Saccharomyces cerevisiae S288C: one gene and its partners. Changing the gene in region 2 together with the main gene of any one other region gives a genetic interaction. Each region holds a gene or a part of one and is shown on either strand. Other genes may lie near its edges. The genes, in order: HFA1, NOP19, COX5B and AFG2.

Region 1 (8,022 bases), on a different chromosome or scaffold from region 2:
GTGACTTTTTCCATTCCAACTCATTTCGGATTACTCCTTTAACTAGCATCCTAGTCGATCTATCATGTAAATCTGCAAACTGTATGCTGATTTGATTGTAAATTGGTATCAACTGTCTCTCTCTTATTTTCAATCTCTTCGTAAGATCATTTTGTTTTTCCAAAGATAACTTTTTTTCTGTCAACGTTCTTCTCAAATGTCCATATGTGGAGTCTAATCGAATCATCGTCTCTATCATTTTCTCCTTACGGTATTTTATGCTAACTACTCCGTCAGGTTCTAACACACCTCCCCTAGATTCAACATCGGCATACATTTCCATTTGTTCAGGATTAATAGTTGGATCTATAACAACCCATGATCCGCCCCTTAATTCACCAAAGGGCGGAATGTATATCAGTATGGGTTGTTTGTAGTCAACCAGAGCGTCAACAATAAAAGACCCGTACTTTAGTACTTCATTGTACATATCCCTTTGACCGCCAGAAAATCCCCTCCAATTGGCTAAGATAATCAATGGTAATTGCTCACCATAGTTAAAATCATTTATAGTTTGAGCTGTTTTGAACGCGGAATTTGGATACCACACCTGTCCTGCTTCTTTAACGGAAAACTCTGAAGAATCCAGATTAGCTGGGTCAGCGGGGATTATTTCTTCGATAGTCTTAGTTTCTACCGCAATAACACCCACGGGAATACCTCCAAGACGTGCTCTTCCAACTATTACACCTTTGGCCCATCCAGATAATGTCTCAAAAAACGAATCCTTATCAAATAGGCCTGACTGGAAGTTGTTATTTGAGTCCCATTTACCCTCTATCAACCACCTTGCCTCATATGGCACTTGCTTGGCAGGTTTGAAGTCTACATCCCTATCCCATCTATCCATAGTTTCAAGAAGTGGAGGACTCATATCTCTTTTCGCCGGGACATATGATAACCATGTCATTATTTTTTCGATGGCTTTCATATCATTACTGGCTGTTAAATGCGCTATTCCGTTTTTATACATGATTTGGGTTCCGCCAATTTGTAGGTTAGATGTATAGATATCGGTACCCAAAACTTTATTAATCGCCGATGCACCCGTCAGTATGATAGGCTTATCCTCCACCTGAATAGTACGTTGTCCTAGTCTGACCAGATAGGAACCTATACCAACGGACCGACAAGTAACAGCAGTAATAGTGAAAATGTCTCTATACGCTTTCGAAGTGGCACCAGCAATTAAACCCGAGCCCTGTAAACATTCAACACCTAAACCCTCTTCGAATCCGACTATTGCTTTAATAATATATCTCTCTTCACCGTATACCATCTTGTGTTCAACAACAACCGAATTTCCTTTCCCAGAATCTTTCAGTAGCTGCATGTCTTTTGGAGCTAAGTATAAGTACTGGAAACCCTTTGTTGGATCAGAGGGGTCATTCCATGCTACACGAAATAGAGGGATCAGCTCTTCGGCTATACCCAATTTAGCTCCTGAATTCGCCGCCAAGTATATCCTCGGGATCCCTCTCTCTCTTGCATAATTTGTGACCCTATCAAAAAACAAATCTTCTCTCGGTCCAAAAGATCCAATATTGTAGGTAATATCATTAGAAATCACGATCATGTTACGCCCTTCAGGATATTCAGGTGTCTGAACCATAATCTCAAAAGCAACCATCCCTATATTATTAAGGCCTGGCTCCCTGTTTACTTTTATTAAATTACCGTTTTGTTCTATCAATTCAACCCAACTAAAAAAACTGTCATTCAGCTTATGTTTTGGAAAATACCTTTTCCACTGTTGGATTGCAGCTTGATGAAACAGACCTGGGAAATCGTACACATATGTTGTACCCATGAATTGAGCTTTGTACCTTTTAGGTTGTAGCCAATCCTTGACCGAGTAAGGAAGAGAGAGAGATTTCTGGCTATAATGGCTCTGCTCACTACACGGTTCCAAAATCAGATTCCCATTTTTCCCTATCTTTTCGTAATATGTCTCAATTTTTACCACATACCCAGATTTATTAGAAATAAGTAATCTAAGCGGGGCTGGCTTCTTTGTTTCTAGGCACTCAACAGAGATGCAAATTTCTACATCTGTGATTCTTTCTTGAAACAATCTGGTTTCGTGAGTCTTTAGAATTGTACTCACAATTTCCTCGAGACGATGTACTGGTATGTTAAGAACTGTATTGAAACTTAAAAAAATATGATTCAAGTCTGAATTTGAGATGTCAACTGCTCCTAGATGTTCTAACATATAAACCACTTGAGCATTGATTTCCGCTTTCAAGTTTTCTTCGGTTGTTTTTTGATCATTATACATGAAGGAATTTATGATTTTCCTGACAAAGAACCTTTTATCTAGCGGCGTAAATTTGCTAATACCTTCAAAAATGCGTATACTACTATCGTATGTAGGTAGTGATCTGATTTTATAGTTCGACATTTTTCCTAACTCTAACGGTGCTTCATAGGATGGATCCATATTTCTTATTTGAGAGATTTCATCGTACGTAGTTCCATCAAAGGAGTAAAATTTAACAGCGGGCGCATTCGCGGCGATAAATGCAAATGTAATACGATTAACCTTGAGCTTGGATAGACCTCTCTCATTTTCATGAAGTTTAATTTTTAAAGTTTTAATTAGATCATTTTCACTTCTGTAACGAATAGGAGATAAAATATTAACAATAAGAGAGTTCTCTCCGCTGGAAAGTCTTTCCTCAGGAATATGAATTTGTTCGTATACCTCGTCTAATGTCTTTTCCAGAGATTCAAGCGCACGCATGTTGACAAGAAGACCAAAACTATTTGCTGAGCTCTTACCTGATGTTGAGGGAGGTTTAGAAAGTTTTGTAAACTCATCACTCTCACCATCAGAATTGACTAAATAATTTCTTAATGAGCTGAATTGCCATGACATTAGTAAATCAGGCGCTCCTTTATGAATCTTAATACTTTTTAATTGATAATTGCCGTAGGCATACCTTGCATAAATTTCAGATGCTATACTGGAAAGAGCCGTATCTTGATGGCCAAAAAAAAAGAACAAATCCTGAAGTTGTATCAGATTTGAATGTATTAAATTACCAAAATCCCTCATACAGGAATATATGTTCCTGCTGTGAATGTTTTCGGCACCAGTATCCTTTATGTGCAATTGCAGGAGAGTTTTAATATGCTCTTTTCTTTTCTTTATGGGAGGGAAAATCCCTCTGAGTAGCACTGATCTTGCCTTTACAGCAACCTCTTTAGCCCACTTAGATTCCAAACTTGCCAAATCATGTATAACAGCCCTGAATTTTAAAGACATCTTAGAGGAATCCTGGCACAATGGCTCGTATTCATGCAATATTGCAGTTACTAACTTGTTCTTTGCGACTACGTTAGCATGCGATAAACTTATGCACAAAATTTTTTTCAAGTTTGTAAGGTCTTTCCTCCGCAGATTTAGTAAGTTTCTTTCTTCATGTATATCATGATTTTCAAAAATTTTCTCAACAGCATAGTACTTTTTAATCAACTTTAAAAAAATTTCACATTCGTGATTAGCTAAACCTTCGCTATACCTTTCACTAATTTTAAGAAGTGGCTGTAAGGCAACATAAACTACATGATCATTTGTATTTTCTTCCAAGTAGCGCTTCATTAATTTGTGCAGTTCCTTTGCAGGAAAAGAAACAGATTTCTTGACTAGATTTCCCAGCCCCTCATTCAATTGCCTTGGTAGTCTATTGCGTACCGTAGAAATTTGGGAATCCCATTCTGAATAAGGAAGCCTACCATCTCTCAATATTTTTATCAACTCTTTTAGAGTAGTTTCTATTCCAGAGTTTTCATGATATCCATTGAGAATATTTTCTAACCTATTTATTAAGACTCTGAGCTTATGGTTTGGTCGGCTACCCTCTATTAGCGGTGGACCTAAAACAGGTAATTCTCCGCGGTATAAAGACGATTCGTTAGCTTTGGACGGCGAATCCAAAGTCAATTTTGCGATGACATCACCAGCCTCAATTATGGAACCGGGCTGTCTTAGTAACTCAATTACACCATCACTTTTCGCTACTAGTGGCATCTGCATTTTCATTATTTCTATTTCTGCATATTGCTGTCCAGCAAAAACGTGATCACCACTTCGGACCAAATATTTCACCAATTTCCCCGGAGTTGGAGAGATCACTTGAGTGGGATTGAGTTCAGCTTCTAAAAATATGGTATTGGAGTCTATCGAAAGTCTTGTACCTCTGATATCGTCCTTCCAATAAACTGTATGGCATTTACCGTCAACGGAGATCAACAAGCAGTCACTGGACAATTTTTGAACATTAACTTCACATTGAGACTTATTGATAGAAAGAATAAATTGTTCTTCAGATGATTGAGCAACATTGAACAAGTATCTATTATTATCGAAAATGAAGTCAACAGGAAACTTCGTTTTAAGAAAATCTTTAGGTGGAACTTGGCCCCTCCGCAATAATTCCAAATACTTATTCCTCACCTTTTCTGTGAAAACGTATGCTTTCATTGCGGCACCACAGATAATAGCGAGCGTTGGATCTAGTTTGCTATCGGAAGATAAATTTTTCAAAATCAAATCATCTAACCAACCAGTCGATATGTTATTACTCTCAAAGTCCCGAGTTTCTAATAGCTCTATCAGGTACTCTATGGGGGTTTTGAATTCTCCTCGGATGGAAAAATCTTTTAGAGCTAAAACCATGTTTTGCTTTGCATCTTGCCTATCGTTTCCTACAGCAAAAATGTGCCCAAATTGGGAATCTGAAAATGAGTGAATAGCACCATTATTTCCTACTGAGAAGTAACCCCAAACATTGGAAGAAGAACGAAAATTGAGCTCATGTATTTTCCCAGTGGAGGGCTTGAAACCTTCATTAGGATCTTCTGAAGTGATCCTGCATGAAATACAATGGCCTTTTGGCGAGGGTCTCTTTAAATTTTTAAAATCAATATACGAAGTTCCCGTTGGATCTAAACCATAAAGTTTTCTGATATCACTTATCATGTGCATAGGAATGCCCATGGCGATTTGCAGTTGAGTGGCAGGAAGGTTTACGCCAGATATCATTTCTGTCGTTGGATGCTCTACTTGTAGTCTCGGATTCAGTTCTAAAAAGTAAAATTTATCATCTTTTGGTGAATATAAGTATTCGACAGTGCCCGCAGAAACATAACCTACCAATTCACCTAGACGAATTGCTGCGCGTTCCATCCTTTGAAACGTTTCAGGCTTGGTTATTGTCACTGGTGCCTCTTCTATAATCTTTTGGTGCCGCCTTTGTATGGAACAGTCTCTCCCAAACAATGTAATGTTAGTGCCATATTGGTCAGCTAATAACTGTACCTCTAAGTGACGAGCATCAGTGACAACTTTCATAACAAACATAGGCGACCCAGGTGTCTCATTCACTGCTTGGCGATATAATGCAATAAAATCATCCTCATTATCTACTCGCCTAATGCCCTTACCTCCACCACCTTCGGATGCCTTAATCATTACAGGAAATCCTATTAATTTAGCCTTTTCTAAAGCATCTTCAGGTGAGGAACAACATCCCCTTACATATACATCATCCGGCACAGATACAAAGTTCGTCTTGTTATCGATATGGATAGTGTCTATATGTGAACCAGACCAAGGGATACACGGGATTTTAGCGCTTTGTGCTACAATAGTGGAAGAAATCTTGTCACCCAATGATCTCATAGCGCGTCCAGGAGGACCAATGAATAGTATTTTCCTTTGTGAACTAGCTAACAGCTCAGGAAGACACGGATTTTCAGAAGCATGGCCCCATCCAGCCCAGACCGCATCCACATCCGTTTGCTCTGCCACGTCCAGTATTAAGTCTATGTTGGCGTAATTGTTGTTGTTGGTACCCCCTGGTACCTGCACATATTGGTCTGCCATTCTAATATACTCCGAATTTGCGTGTAAATCATCAGGTGTCGCCATTACCACGAATTGAATGATTTTTTCATCATTGAACGTCTCGTACGCCCATTTTCTTATAGATCTCATTTCTTTCACCGCAGCAATACCATTGTTTGCTATTAAGATCTTTGAAATAACAGTATGTCCACCACGTAAATCAACAAAATCTCTTAATATTGAAGGTTGGGCACTTTCCACAGTATTTAGCCCTATGAACTGGGGCGGTAATCGAGTATGTTTATGAATATTGCCTCGATCCACATAATTGGAATACCTTCTTCTAGATGGAAAATTCAAACCTATTCGAGATGAATGCCTATACGAATGGGCAAAAATGCGTTTTCTGTATTCAGGGCGCTGTCCTTTCAACCGTACTATCTGGCTGCCCGTTATATTATAGAATCGATAAGGATCCAAATATAACGCGAGCTTGTACTGTCCTATTCGAATGCAAGTAATTGTGAATATGGTAATGTAAAAGTGAGAATGTATCCGGCGAGCCCCCCAGCTTTGGCCGTGTGTAATTGTCTTCCCTTTCTACCCAAGATGACTTCTTCTTTATCATTCTTCATTATTCATCTTTTCTTGTCATCTGCCGCCCACCCATTTTAGTTACCCTAACGGAAACATTGATGAATGATGCTATTATTACTGTCATAAGCAATAAAAAGAGAGGTTCCTACTACTTCTCCCGTGGAAAGCTAGCGATAGCCTTGTACTCTATCTCACTTTCAGAATGCGTACACATTTATGTTTAAAGAGGCGTTTTGTGCTAGTTTTGTCTCAACGTGTATTTTATCGGTTGTAATTGTACTGACAATTTTCGGGCCTCGTTTGGCTGTCGCACTGAAATCTTCGACAGGGTATCGAAGAACGATACAACGATATGCCTATAAAGGTTAGTTAGCCATGATATTACTTCCTGGTTAGCTGGTGCGCTTCTTAGTCCTAACTTGCAAATTTATATCTACGTATAGAAAACTGTCAATATGTCATTACCGTTCTTAACTTCTGCACCGGGAAAGGTTATTATTTTTGGTGAACACTCTGCTGTGTACAACAAGCCTGCCGTCGCTGCTAGTGTGTCTGCGTTGAGAACCTACCTGCTAATAAGCGAGTCATCTGCACCAGATACTATTGAATTGGACTTCCCGGACATTAGCTTTAATCATAAGTGGTCCATCAATGATTTCAATGCCATCACCGAGGATCAAGTAAACTCCCAAAAATTGGCCAAGGCTCAACAAGCCACCGATGGCTTGTCTCAGGAACTCGTTAGTCTTTTGGATCCGTTGTTAGCTCAACTATCCGAATCCTTCCACTACCATGCAGCGTTTTGTTTCCTGTATATGTTTGTTTGCCTATGCCCCCATGCCAAGAATATTAAGTTTTCTTTAAAGTCTACTTTACCCATCGGTGCTGGGTTGGGCTCAAGCGCCTCTATTTCTGTATCACTGGCCTTAGCTATGGCCTACTTGGGGGGGTTAATAGGATCTAATGACTTGGAAAAGCTGTCAGAAAACGATAAGCATATAGTGAATCAATGGGCCTTCATAGGTGAAAAGTGTATTCACGGTACCCCTTCAGGAATAGATAACGCTGTGGCCACTTATGGTAATGCCCTGCTATTTGAAAAAGACTCACATAATGGAACAATAAACACAAACAATTTTAAGTTCTTAGATGATTTCCCAGCCATTCCAATGATCCTAACCTATACTAGAATTCCAAGGTCTACAAAAGATCTTGTTGCTCGCGTTCGTGTGTTGGTCACCGAGAAATTTCCTGAAGTTATGAAGCCAATTCTAGATGCCATGGGTGAATGTGCCCTACAAGGCTTAGAGATCATGACTAAGTTAAGTAAATGTAAAGGCACCGATGACGAGGCTGTAGAAACTAATAATGAACTGTATGAACAACTATTGGAATTGATAAGAATAAATCATGGACTGCTTGTCTCAATCGGTGTTTCTCATCCTGGATTAGAACTTATTAAAAATCTGAGCGATGATTTGAGAATTGGCTCCACAAAACTTACCGGTGCTGGTGGCGGCGGTTGCTCTTTG
Region 2 (2,810 bases):
TGGTCAACTATTCCCGGGAAGGGCATAAATTGAATCAAGCGCCAATTTTACGTCTTCGGCTAGTAATCGGATCAGCGGGAGAAACATCGTACGTACACAAGAGAATACCGAGAGTGTCGATTAATCAACCACGCTCCATGAGGCTTATCCGCATTCTACTTGCATGTTAGCCGGGAAAAGACATAAATCATCTCAATTCTCTAGAATACTCTAGAGATTATGTAAAAGCGTAGCCCCGTAGATGATTAAATAATTTTCGGTTTCTTACCCCGTAACCACGAGTTGCGGTGTTTTTGCTTCTATCGGGGCAATAAGCGGGCGCTGCTTCTCGGGAATGTAAAAACTGTGCTTCCTACCATGAAGTAGTTGGATCTTGAAATGGGTTGGGCCGGAACAATATGCAAGTACTACAATCCTTGTATTCCCATATGATTATATTCCCCTTTGCATAGGCTAGTGTTTTTTTTTTCGTTCTTTTGTTTCTTCCGCTAGGAATAGTAGTGGCGATCTGCAGAAAGACGCTCTAAGGAAAAAGAGAGAATTTCGATCAGTCCCGTACACATTACTCTTGGGAAGTTCAATTCCTTCGGACGTAATCCACATACGAACTTGGCTCTCATCTGTTGTCTTCAAGCTGTTGCGGCCCTCCTCTTTCTCTCTGTTGTACACATTTTTTGACTTTCAAAAATATGCCGCTAAGGAAACATAACCCTTGTGTATGTGAGCTTGTAGCATATGATATAGTGCTCATTGGCATGTGACAAGAATTGCGTATGTAATTGAAGTTTGTAGTGTAATTTACGAAAATAGCCGCCCTTCTTCTTCATTAACGATTATTGAGCGTAATGATATAAGATACAACGGTTTATTTAGGGCTGCATCCATGAAAATACTTTGTAATAGTGAGTCGTCGCCTTGTTTGTTTATTCAATACAATGCAGTGTCTCTATAGTCTCCTCCTTTAGTTTCACTATCTTTTCTAACCGCCGAAGATATACGAGTGTTCTGAACGAAAAACGACCTTTTCAAACATAGAATATAATTGTATATATACATATACATATATGATACGCAGCCACATTCGTAGTATCTTTAAGACACTGCCTTTCAAAAAAGCTTTGGTATTTTGAAAGAAGATCGAAGCCAAGGAACCAGGACTACAATGAATTAGACGCTACAAAGTTTCTTAATTGGAAAACAAGGAGGGACAAGGAGGAGACTTTTACAGTAAACCAGAATGCTCCTTCACTGTTCAGTTATGTAATGTTATTGTTTGGAAGATCTGAAGAGAGGCATTTCCTACAACCTCTTGAATAAAATAGTGGAAGGCATTTACACAAAGAAGCCGTGCCACTTTGGTCCGGATTTTTTTTACCTAAAATCGTCTTAAATTGGCCTGTTCGATAGCTGTCATTTGTTTTAGATATTTATTTCCTAACGTCAGCTTTAGTTACAGTATGTATGTATCAACCTTTTAGTAAGACAATAATGATTGCATGTTTGATCCTGCTTTAAAGGCATTGGAAGTAACCGTAGTGGCCGCTGTTTCTTCTTGACGGCCTGTAATTGACCTGCGACGCGGGCAATTTCTAGCGATGAGATTGGAAAAACTAACGCATAAAAAAGATTTCAAGATTTATAAGATGTTGAAACAAATCCTCTTCTCACATCTACAGTTGATACAGTATACCGTATTATCTTTCCTCGGTAGTGTTCAGAATGAGTAGGGCCAAAGAATTACAAGAGAAGCTCAACTTGCAAGCGAAACTCCAGTCTACTTTCAGTAACAATACTGCTGCAGTTTTGGACTGGCTGAAAGAATCAGATGAAACCGGCATTAGCAATGATACAGAGCGTAACAAACAGTTAAAAGATCACAAGGAGTTGGAGGATGGTAAGAAGGCATTTTTCAAGCTTCCCGTTTTGCAGATTGGATCGGGCCTACACTTCCGCACACAAGATGACGCTTCCGCCAAAGAAGATATACATACGATTGGTGAGTTTATTGAGGGTGATAAAAAGGTAAGTTCGTTGGCAAAGAAAAAGAAAAGAAGTGACCCAGGGTTGCAACGAAATAATATGTACAGGATCACTAAAGATGATACGAAAGCCATGATTGCGCTTAAAAGAAAAATGAGGAAAGGCGAGAAGGAAGGACTAAGGAAGAAACAAGAGCATAGCAAAAGCAGCGTTTCGAACTCATATAGTGCCAGTGATGAAGAGGATGAAGATGCAGGGACAATGCCGCAAAAGTCCACAAAAAAAAAATTTGGTTTACTTTTTGATAAAAAAAAGAAGGCACGTAAATAATCTTAAACACTTATGGGCAGCAAAAAATGCGTCTTTCTTCCCTCGTCTGTTGTTTTATGTAGGGCGTAATGATGTTTGCTTGTCAACAAATGAATACGTACAGAAGAGAATTCTAGCCAAGGCAATTATTGCATACTGCAAGTACTGAGTACGTTAACGTTGCTAGAATAACATTAAATGAGATGTAGCAATGCAGATCCTTCCTCAGTAGGCTTAATGCTCCACTAGAATTTTTGACCAGCCACTATTTGCTTTTTTCGCAATCCTTTTCAATACTCGAGAGCAAAGACAAAAAAAATAAGACATGTAGTGCGCTGTATGGAAAAGAATTAATTAGAACTTTACAAACGCGTGTTAAACAGGCATATTTAAGTGTTTGGACCTAAACAATATATCGACTATTGAAATTCTTACGCAAGATTTTTTATAGTTGGATATTCATATATTCTTACAACTCTCTCTACTTTCAGTTTTTTGAAGCTATATGTATCATTATATAC
Region 3 (2,629 bases), on a different chromosome or scaffold from region 2:
TCCTAGAATTGAAGACGAAGAGGACGATACGAGGATGCTCAATCTGGCAGACGATGACTTTAATAACGATCGTGATGTCAAGGAATCTACAACTTCGGATTCGCGCAAGAGATTGGATGACAATGAAAATGTTGGTACTCAATACTCATTGGACTGGAAAAAACGTAAAACAAATGCCTTGCAAGATGAAGAAAAATTAAAAAGTATCTCACCACTCTCTATGGAACCTCATTCTCCAAAGAAGGCAAAATCTGTAGAGATAAGTAAAATACATGAAGAAACGGCTGCTGAAAGAGAAGCAAGACTCAAGGAAGAGGAAGAATACAGAAAGAAAAGATTAGAAAAGAAAAGAAAAAAAGAACAGGAACTACTACAAAAGCTGGCCGAAGATGAGAAAAAAAGGATCGAAGAACAGGAGAAGCAGAAAGTCTTAGAAATGGAAAGATTGGAAAAAGCTACTTTAGAGAAAGCAAGAAAAATGGAAAGGGAAAAAGAAATGGAAGAAATCTCTTATAGAAGGGCAGTAAGGGACTTATATCCGTTAGGACTGAAGATTATTAACTTCAACGATAAACTTGATTACAAAAGATTTTTGCCGCTATATTATTTTGTAGACGAAAAAAACGATAAATTTGTGCTCGACTTGCAAGTAATGATATTGTTGAAGGATATCGACTTGCTCTCAAAGGACAACCAACCAACTTCTGAGAAGATTCCCGTCGATCCCTCGCACCTGACTCCATTGTGGAATATGTTGAAATTCATTTTCCTGTATGGAGGTAGTTATGATGATAAAAAGAACAACATGGAAAATAAAAGATATGTTGTAAACTTTGATGGGGTTGATTTGGACACAAAGATTGGGTATGAGCTTTTGGAGTACAAAAAATTTGTTAGTTTGCCCATGGCGTGGATTAAATGGGATAACGTTGTTATTGAAAACCACGCAAAAAGAAAAGAAATTGAAGGAAATATGATTCAAATATCAATAAACGAATTTGCACGATGGAGAAACGATAAGCTGAACAAAGCGCAGCAGCCGACGCGCAAACAGCGTTCTCTAAAAATACCTCGAGAGTTACCGGTTAAATTTCAACACCGTATGAGCATATCCTCCGTCCTCCAGCAGACATCCAAAGAACCATTTTGGTAAAACAATTCATCGGTCCGTTGGCATATGCTCATACATAGTTGCATTTTCGATTCATTAAATACTATTCATGTTAACATAATTCCATATAATCGTACTGTTTTGTCATTATTATATCGGCATGACACTCACCAATTTCTTTTTTTGATTTTGTATTGTTCGATAAGGCAACGAACGAGTACTCGAAAAAATGTCATGGACCCCTTAAAATTACTGAGGGGTTCAGAAAATACCGTGCAAAAGACGAAAAAAGACGAATTTCATTTGATTTATATTTTATAAATGACTGTTGCATTAAACAATAGACCAATTATTTCAATTTAATATTCTTTGCAGGAAACTTTCACAATGGAATAACGCCACATATTCATTGTAAAGAGCATGTATAACAAACACTGATTTTTGTTTTGAGTTTTAAAAGATATCCATTTACTAACATTCGAGGTGTACAAGCACAAGTTTTGCAGTGTTGCGTACTTCTCTTACTAAAGGGGCACGGCTAACTGGGACAAGATTTGTTCAAACAAAGGCCCTTTCGAAGGCAACATTGACAGATCTGCCCGAAAGATGGGAAAATATGCCAAACTTAGAACAGAAAGAGATTGCAGATAATTTGACAGAACGTCAAAAGCTTCCATGGAAAACTCTCAATAACGAGGAAATCAAAGCAGCTTGGTACATATCCTACGGCGAGTGGGGACCTAGAAGACCTGTACACGGAAAAGGCGATGTTGCATTTATAACTAAAGGAGTATTTTTAGGGTTAGGAATCTCATTTGGGCTCTTTGGTTTAGTGAGACTATTAGCCAATCCTGAAACTCCAAAGACTATGAACAGGGAATGGCAGTTGAAATCAGACGAGTATCTGAAGTCAAAAAATGCCAATCCTTGGGGAGGTTATTCTCAAGTTCAATCTAAATAAGTAGACGAGGAAAATAAAATTGTTTCGTATATTCCGTGTTTGGGGTATAAGTAGATTGTTTTCATATATACGCATTTGGTCTTAGTTCAGTAGGTTGATTACTTAGTTCCTTGTACCTTCTTCTGCAAATATCATTCATTGTTACTTCGAAGAAGAAAAAAAATAATCATGGAAAATTGGAAAAAAAAAAAGTCCAATCTAAAAAATAAAAATGTTCAAGTCATCGATTCTATGGGGAGGAAAAGGACAATCAGAACCGAAGTGTTGTGTAGCTAAAATATGTCATTTTCCTTCGGCTTTACTTCCAATGACTTTGATGATGATGAGCTTGTTGCTCAACCTGAAACATTCGTTGAAAGCAGCAAAGAAAACGAAAATACCACTGCTTACATCAATCCATTAGATTCGGATTTCTTGTCGCAAGCTGGAGTTGTGCAGCCAAATGTGGAAGACCTAGGAACAATATTGGAAAGTCTTAAGGATGTTAGATTGACATTTGAAGAGTTCCAATCTCCGATATATAGAAAACCATTGATCAAGAGGGAACTATTCGATGT
Region 4 (4,666 bases), on a different chromosome or scaffold from region 2:
TTGGATTCCACTGGTACAGTCATTGTGATGGCATATAATAGTCCTTTATCTATTGCTACGTTCAAAGAAGTAACGATGGGTGTTCCGACGAGGTTGCAGTCTCAGTTTAGATTAACATACAATATGATATTAAATCTTTTAAGAATTGAGGCGTTGAGAGTTGAAGAAATGATCAAGTATTCTTTTAGTGAGAATGCCAAAGAAACTTTACAACCTGAACATGAAAAACAAATCAAAGTATTACAAGAGGAATTACAAACCATAGAGTACAAAAGTTGTGAAATCTGTGATAATGATATCGAAAAGTTTTTGGAATTGATGCTGGCATATAAGGAGGCAACAGTCAACCTAATGCAAGAAATGGTTAAATCGCCTTCGATATTGCATATCTTGAAAGAGGGCAGACTCGTTGCTTTTAGGGACCCCAATGATTGCTTGAAATTAGGATTTGTATTTAAAGTTTCTCTGAAGGATGCTGTTTGTGTCATTATGACGTTCACAAAACCATACAAACTCCCAAATGGTGAGCCAAATCATTTAATATACTTTCCAAAAGCGGATGGATACAGAAGAAGGAACTTCCCTAAATTCCAGAAGACTGATTTTTATATGGAAGAAGTTCCTGTGACGGCTATTGAAGTGATCACTAAACGCAAGTTTGCCGCACCCTTGGGAAAAGTGATTAAAAAGGATGTTGCCGCTTTGAACGAGTTTAACGCTGAAACAAATAACATTTTGGACGGCAAAACGCTAAAAGAAGCAATTAACATTGAAAAGCAAGGTTTAAAAATTCACCAAATATTGTTAGACCGTACAAATATAAGGGATGAGATATTCAAACTAAAAAGCATTAAATGTCCCAACCTAAGCCAACACATTGTTCCCAAGTTTAAGGCGCATGTAATTAAAAAGAAAATTGAAGAATTGTACCATTTGATGTCTGACCAAAATCTGAGCTTACTACCCGATTATGAAAAGAGATTGGCTGTTCTGAAAGACACTGAATTTATCGACCAAAACCACAACGTGCTGTTAAAAGGTAGAGTGGCATGTGAAATTAATTCTGGTTATGAGTTAGTTTTAACTGAATTAATTTTAGACAACTTTTTAGGAAGCTTTGAACCTGAAGAGATTGTAGCCTTATTATCAGTATTTGTTTATGAGGGGAAAACCAGGGAAGAGGAGCCTCCTATTGTCACACCAAGGCTAGCAAAGGGTAAACAAAGAATTGAGGAAATTTACAAGAAAATGCTTTGTGTTTTCAATACGCATCAGATTCCATTAACTCAGGATGAAGCTGAGTTTTTGGACAGAAAAAGGTTTGCCATGATGAATGTGGTGTATGAGTGGGCCCGTGGTTTATCATTCAAAGAAATCATGGAAATGAGCCCCGAGGCTGAAGGTACTGTAGTCAGAGTTATCACTTGGCTAGACGAAATTTGCCGCGAAGTTAAGACTGCCTCTATTATTATTGGTAATTCCACATTACATATGAAGATGAGCAGGGCTCAAGAGTTGATTAAGAGAGATATTGTTTTCGCCGCAAGTTTGTATTTATAGAGAGCTCATTTATTCTCAATGTGAGTCATGTTTATAAAAGTTAATGTTTTCGAACTCTTATTGCACACACACACACACACGTATACATAGTTTTTAAGTCCACTTCGATCCATCTTTATTTTTTTTTTCTTTCATGTAAGCAACGGGCGGACTATTGTAAGAAAATTTTATATTGCCTCATCACATAAACTAATATGCGAACAATATACAATTGAATTCTCAACATTGCCCATTCTCAAAATTGCCCAATCATAGAAAGGAAAATGGCTCCTAAATCTAGTTCTTCCGGTTCCAAAAAGAAATCATCGGCAAGTTCTAATAGTGCTGATGCAAAAGCATCCAAATTTAAATTGCCTGCTGAATTTATTACCAGACCACATCCTTCTAAAGATCATGGCAAGGAAACATGCACAGCATATATTCATCCTAACGTATTATCCTCGCTTGAGATAAATCCGGGATCATTTTGTACTGTCGGTAAGATAGGCGAAAATGGTATTTTAGTAATAGCTAGAGCGGGTGATGAAGAAGTACATCCTGTTAATGTTATCACCCTTTCCACAACTATACGATCTGTTGGGAACCTTATCCTTGGTGATCGTCTAGAATTAAAGAAAGCCCAGGTGCAACCACCTTATGCCACTAAGGTTACCGTGGGGTCCTTACAAGGATATAATATTTTGGAATGTATGGAGGAAAAAGTAATTCAAAAGCTACTGGATGATAGTGGCGTTATAATGCCTGGAATGATTTTTCAAAACTTAAAAACAAAAGCAGGTGATGAAAGCATTGATGTCGTAATTACAGATGCGAGCGATGATTCGCTTCCCGACGTCAGCCAACTAGATCTTAACATGGACGATATGTACGGTGGATTAGATAACCTGTTTTATCTATCTCCACCTTTTATATTCAGAAAAGGCTCCACACATATAACTTTTTCGAAAGAAACCCAGGCAAATCGTAAATACAATCTTCCGGAGCCCTTATCCTATGCAGCAGTGGGCGGCTTAGACAAGGAGATTGAATCACTGAAAAGTGCTATTGAAATACCTCTTCATCAACCGACGCTATTTAGTAGCTTTGGTGTTTCTCCCCCTCGAGGTATACTTCTTCACGGACCCCCAGGTACTGGTAAAACTATGCTTTTGAGAGTTGTAGCAAATACGTCCAACGCACACGTCCTAACCATTAATGGCCCCTCAATCGTCTCCAAATATCTTGGTGAAACGGAAGCGGCATTAAGAGATATTTTTAATGAAGCAAGGAAGTACCAGCCTTCCATTATTTTCATTGACGAAATTGATTCAATAGCACCAAATAGAGCAAACGATGACTCCGGTGAAGTTGAGAGCAGAGTCGTGGCTACATTGCTTACCCTAATGGATGGCATGGGCGCTGCAGGTAAAGTGGTGGTAATTGCTGCTACAAACAGGCCTAATTCTGTCGACCCTGCTCTCAGGAGACCTGGCAGGTTTGACCAAGAAGTAGAAATTGGTATACCAGACGTTGATGCCAGATTTGACATTTTAACTAAGCAATTCTCAAGAATGTCCTCGGATCGTCACGTATTAGATTCTGAAGCGATCAAGTACATTGCTTCTAAAACGCATGGCTATGTTGGTGCTGATTTAACTGCTCTCTGCAGAGAATCAGTTATGAAGACGATACAACGAGGACTAGGAACAGACGCCAATATTGACAAGTTTTCCCTAAAAGTTACATTGAAAGATGTGGAGAGCGCCATGGTTGATATCAGACCCAGCGCAATGAGAGAAATCTTCTTAGAAATGCCAAAAGTTTATTGGTCTGACATTGGCGGCCAAGAAGAGCTTAAAACAAAGATGAAAGAAATGATACAGTTGCCTTTGGAGGCTTCGGAGACTTTTGCCAGGCTGGGAATTTCTGCACCAAAAGGTGTATTACTTTACGGGCCGCCAGGTTGCTCCAAGACATTAACCGCAAAAGCTCTCGCTACAGAATCGGGTATCAACTTCTTAGCTGTGAAAGGGCCTGAAATTTTTAACAAGTATGTAGGGGAATCCGAAAGAGCTATAAGAGAAATTTTCCGCAAAGCACGCTCTGCAGCTCCAAGTATTATCTTCTTTGATGAAATCGATGCATTATCTCCTGATAGAGACGGGAGTTCCACCTCTGCAGCTAATCACGTGCTCACATCTTTACTCAATGAGATTGATGGTGTTGAAGAGTTAAAGGGTGTAGTTATTGTAGCGGCGACGAATAGACCTGATGAAATAGATGCTGCTCTTCTAAGGCCTGGTAGGTTAGATAGACACATTTACGTTGGCCCTCCAGACGTAAACGCCCGCTTGGAAATCTTAAAGAAGTGCACAAAGAAATTTAATACAGAAGAGTCTGGAGTCGATCTTCATGAATTGGCAGACCGTACAGAAGGTTATTCCGGAGCTGAAGTTGTGCTGCTTTGTCAAGAAGCGGGCTTGGCTGCCATAATGGAAGATTTAGATGTCGCAAAAGTGGAATTACGTCATTTTGAGAAAGCTTTTAAAGGAATTGCTAGGGGCATTACTCCAGAAATGCTCTCTTATTATGAAGAGTTTGCTCTAAGAAGCGGTTCATCTTCGTAAGCTTGTTCATAGTCAATTCTTTTCCTTTGTGTGCTCAATAATAGTAGATAGAAATTATACTGAACTCCGGTCATTTTGTATAATATATTAATCACTTCACACGAACATACATAAATAAAATATCATAAAGGTTAGCAAATTGGAACTAGTTATATGTTAATTAGTTAAAAGATAGAAAATTCGAGAAAGGAAGAAAAAGCTGATATTGCCCATCTCCAACTTTATCAAATCATTTCACGATGAATAGATTTTGGAATACTAAGAAATTTTCATTAACAAATGCCGATGGACTATGTGCTACCTTAAATGAGATATCTCAAAATGATGAAGTTCTTGTGGTTCAACCAAGTGTATTGCCAGTACTCAATAGTTTGCTAACTTTCCAAGATTTGACTCAATCAACTCCTGTAAGGAAAATTACGTTACTCGATGATCAGCTAAGTGACGATTTACCGAGTGCCTTAGGCAGCGTTCCGCAAATGGATCTTATTTTTCTTATT

Evidence for each region.
Region 1: mutations in NOP19 (region 2) and HFA1 together harm fitness more than expected from each alone (negative genetic interaction), as found in Saccharomyces cerevisiae (one large-scale study listed by BioGRID).
Region 3: mutations in NOP19 (region 2) and COX5B together harm fitness less than expected from each alone (positive genetic interaction), as found in Saccharomyces cerevisiae (one large-scale study listed by BioGRID).
Region 4: mutations in NOP19 (region 2) and AFG2 together harm fitness more than expected from each alone (negative genetic interaction), as found in Saccharomyces cerevisiae (one large-scale study listed by BioGRID).

What each region holds. Positions count from the first base shown.
Region 1 is NC_001145.3:677,522-685,543, forward strand, and holds the start of HFA1 (acetyl-CoA carboxylase HFA1), read right to left. Parts: upstream 6,044-8,022; coding exon 1-6,043. Other genes in the region: ERG12 (mevalonate kinase), read left to right, coding at 6,946-8,022. UniProt on the Saccharomyces cerevisiae protein: Catalyzes the rate-limiting reaction in the mitochondrial fatty acid synthesis (FAS) type II pathway. Responsible for the production of the mitochondrial malonyl-CoA, used for the biosynthesis of the cofactor lipoic acid.
Region 2 is NC_001139.9:993,920-996,729, forward strand, and holds NOP19 (Nop19p), read left to right. Parts: upstream 1-1,719; coding exon 1,720-2,310; downstream 2,311-2,810.
Region 3 is NC_001141.2:153,694-156,322, forward strand, and holds COX5B (cytochrome c oxidase subunit Vb), read left to right. Parts: upstream 1-1,528; coding exon 1,529-1,529; intron 1,530-1,617; coding exon 1,618-2,072; downstream 2,073-2,629. Other genes in the region: HOS4 (Hos4p), read left to right, coding at 1-1,153; HPM1 (protein-histidine N-methyltransferase), read left to right, coding at 2,352-2,629. UniProt on the Saccharomyces cerevisiae protein: Component of the cytochrome c oxidase, the last enzyme in the mitochondrial electron transport chain which drives oxidative phosphorylation.
Region 4 is NC_001144.5:912,050-916,715, reverse strand, and holds AFG2 (AAA family ATPase AFG2), read left to right. Parts: upstream 1-1,823; coding exon 1,824-4,166; downstream 4,167-4,666. Other genes in the region: SKI complex RNA helicase subunit SKI2, read left to right, coding at 1-1,560; tethering complex ATP-binding subunit VPS33, read left to right, coding at 4,406-4,666. UniProt on the Saccharomyces cerevisiae protein: ATP-dependent chaperone which uses the energy provided by ATP hydrolysis to generate mechanical force to disassemble protein complexes.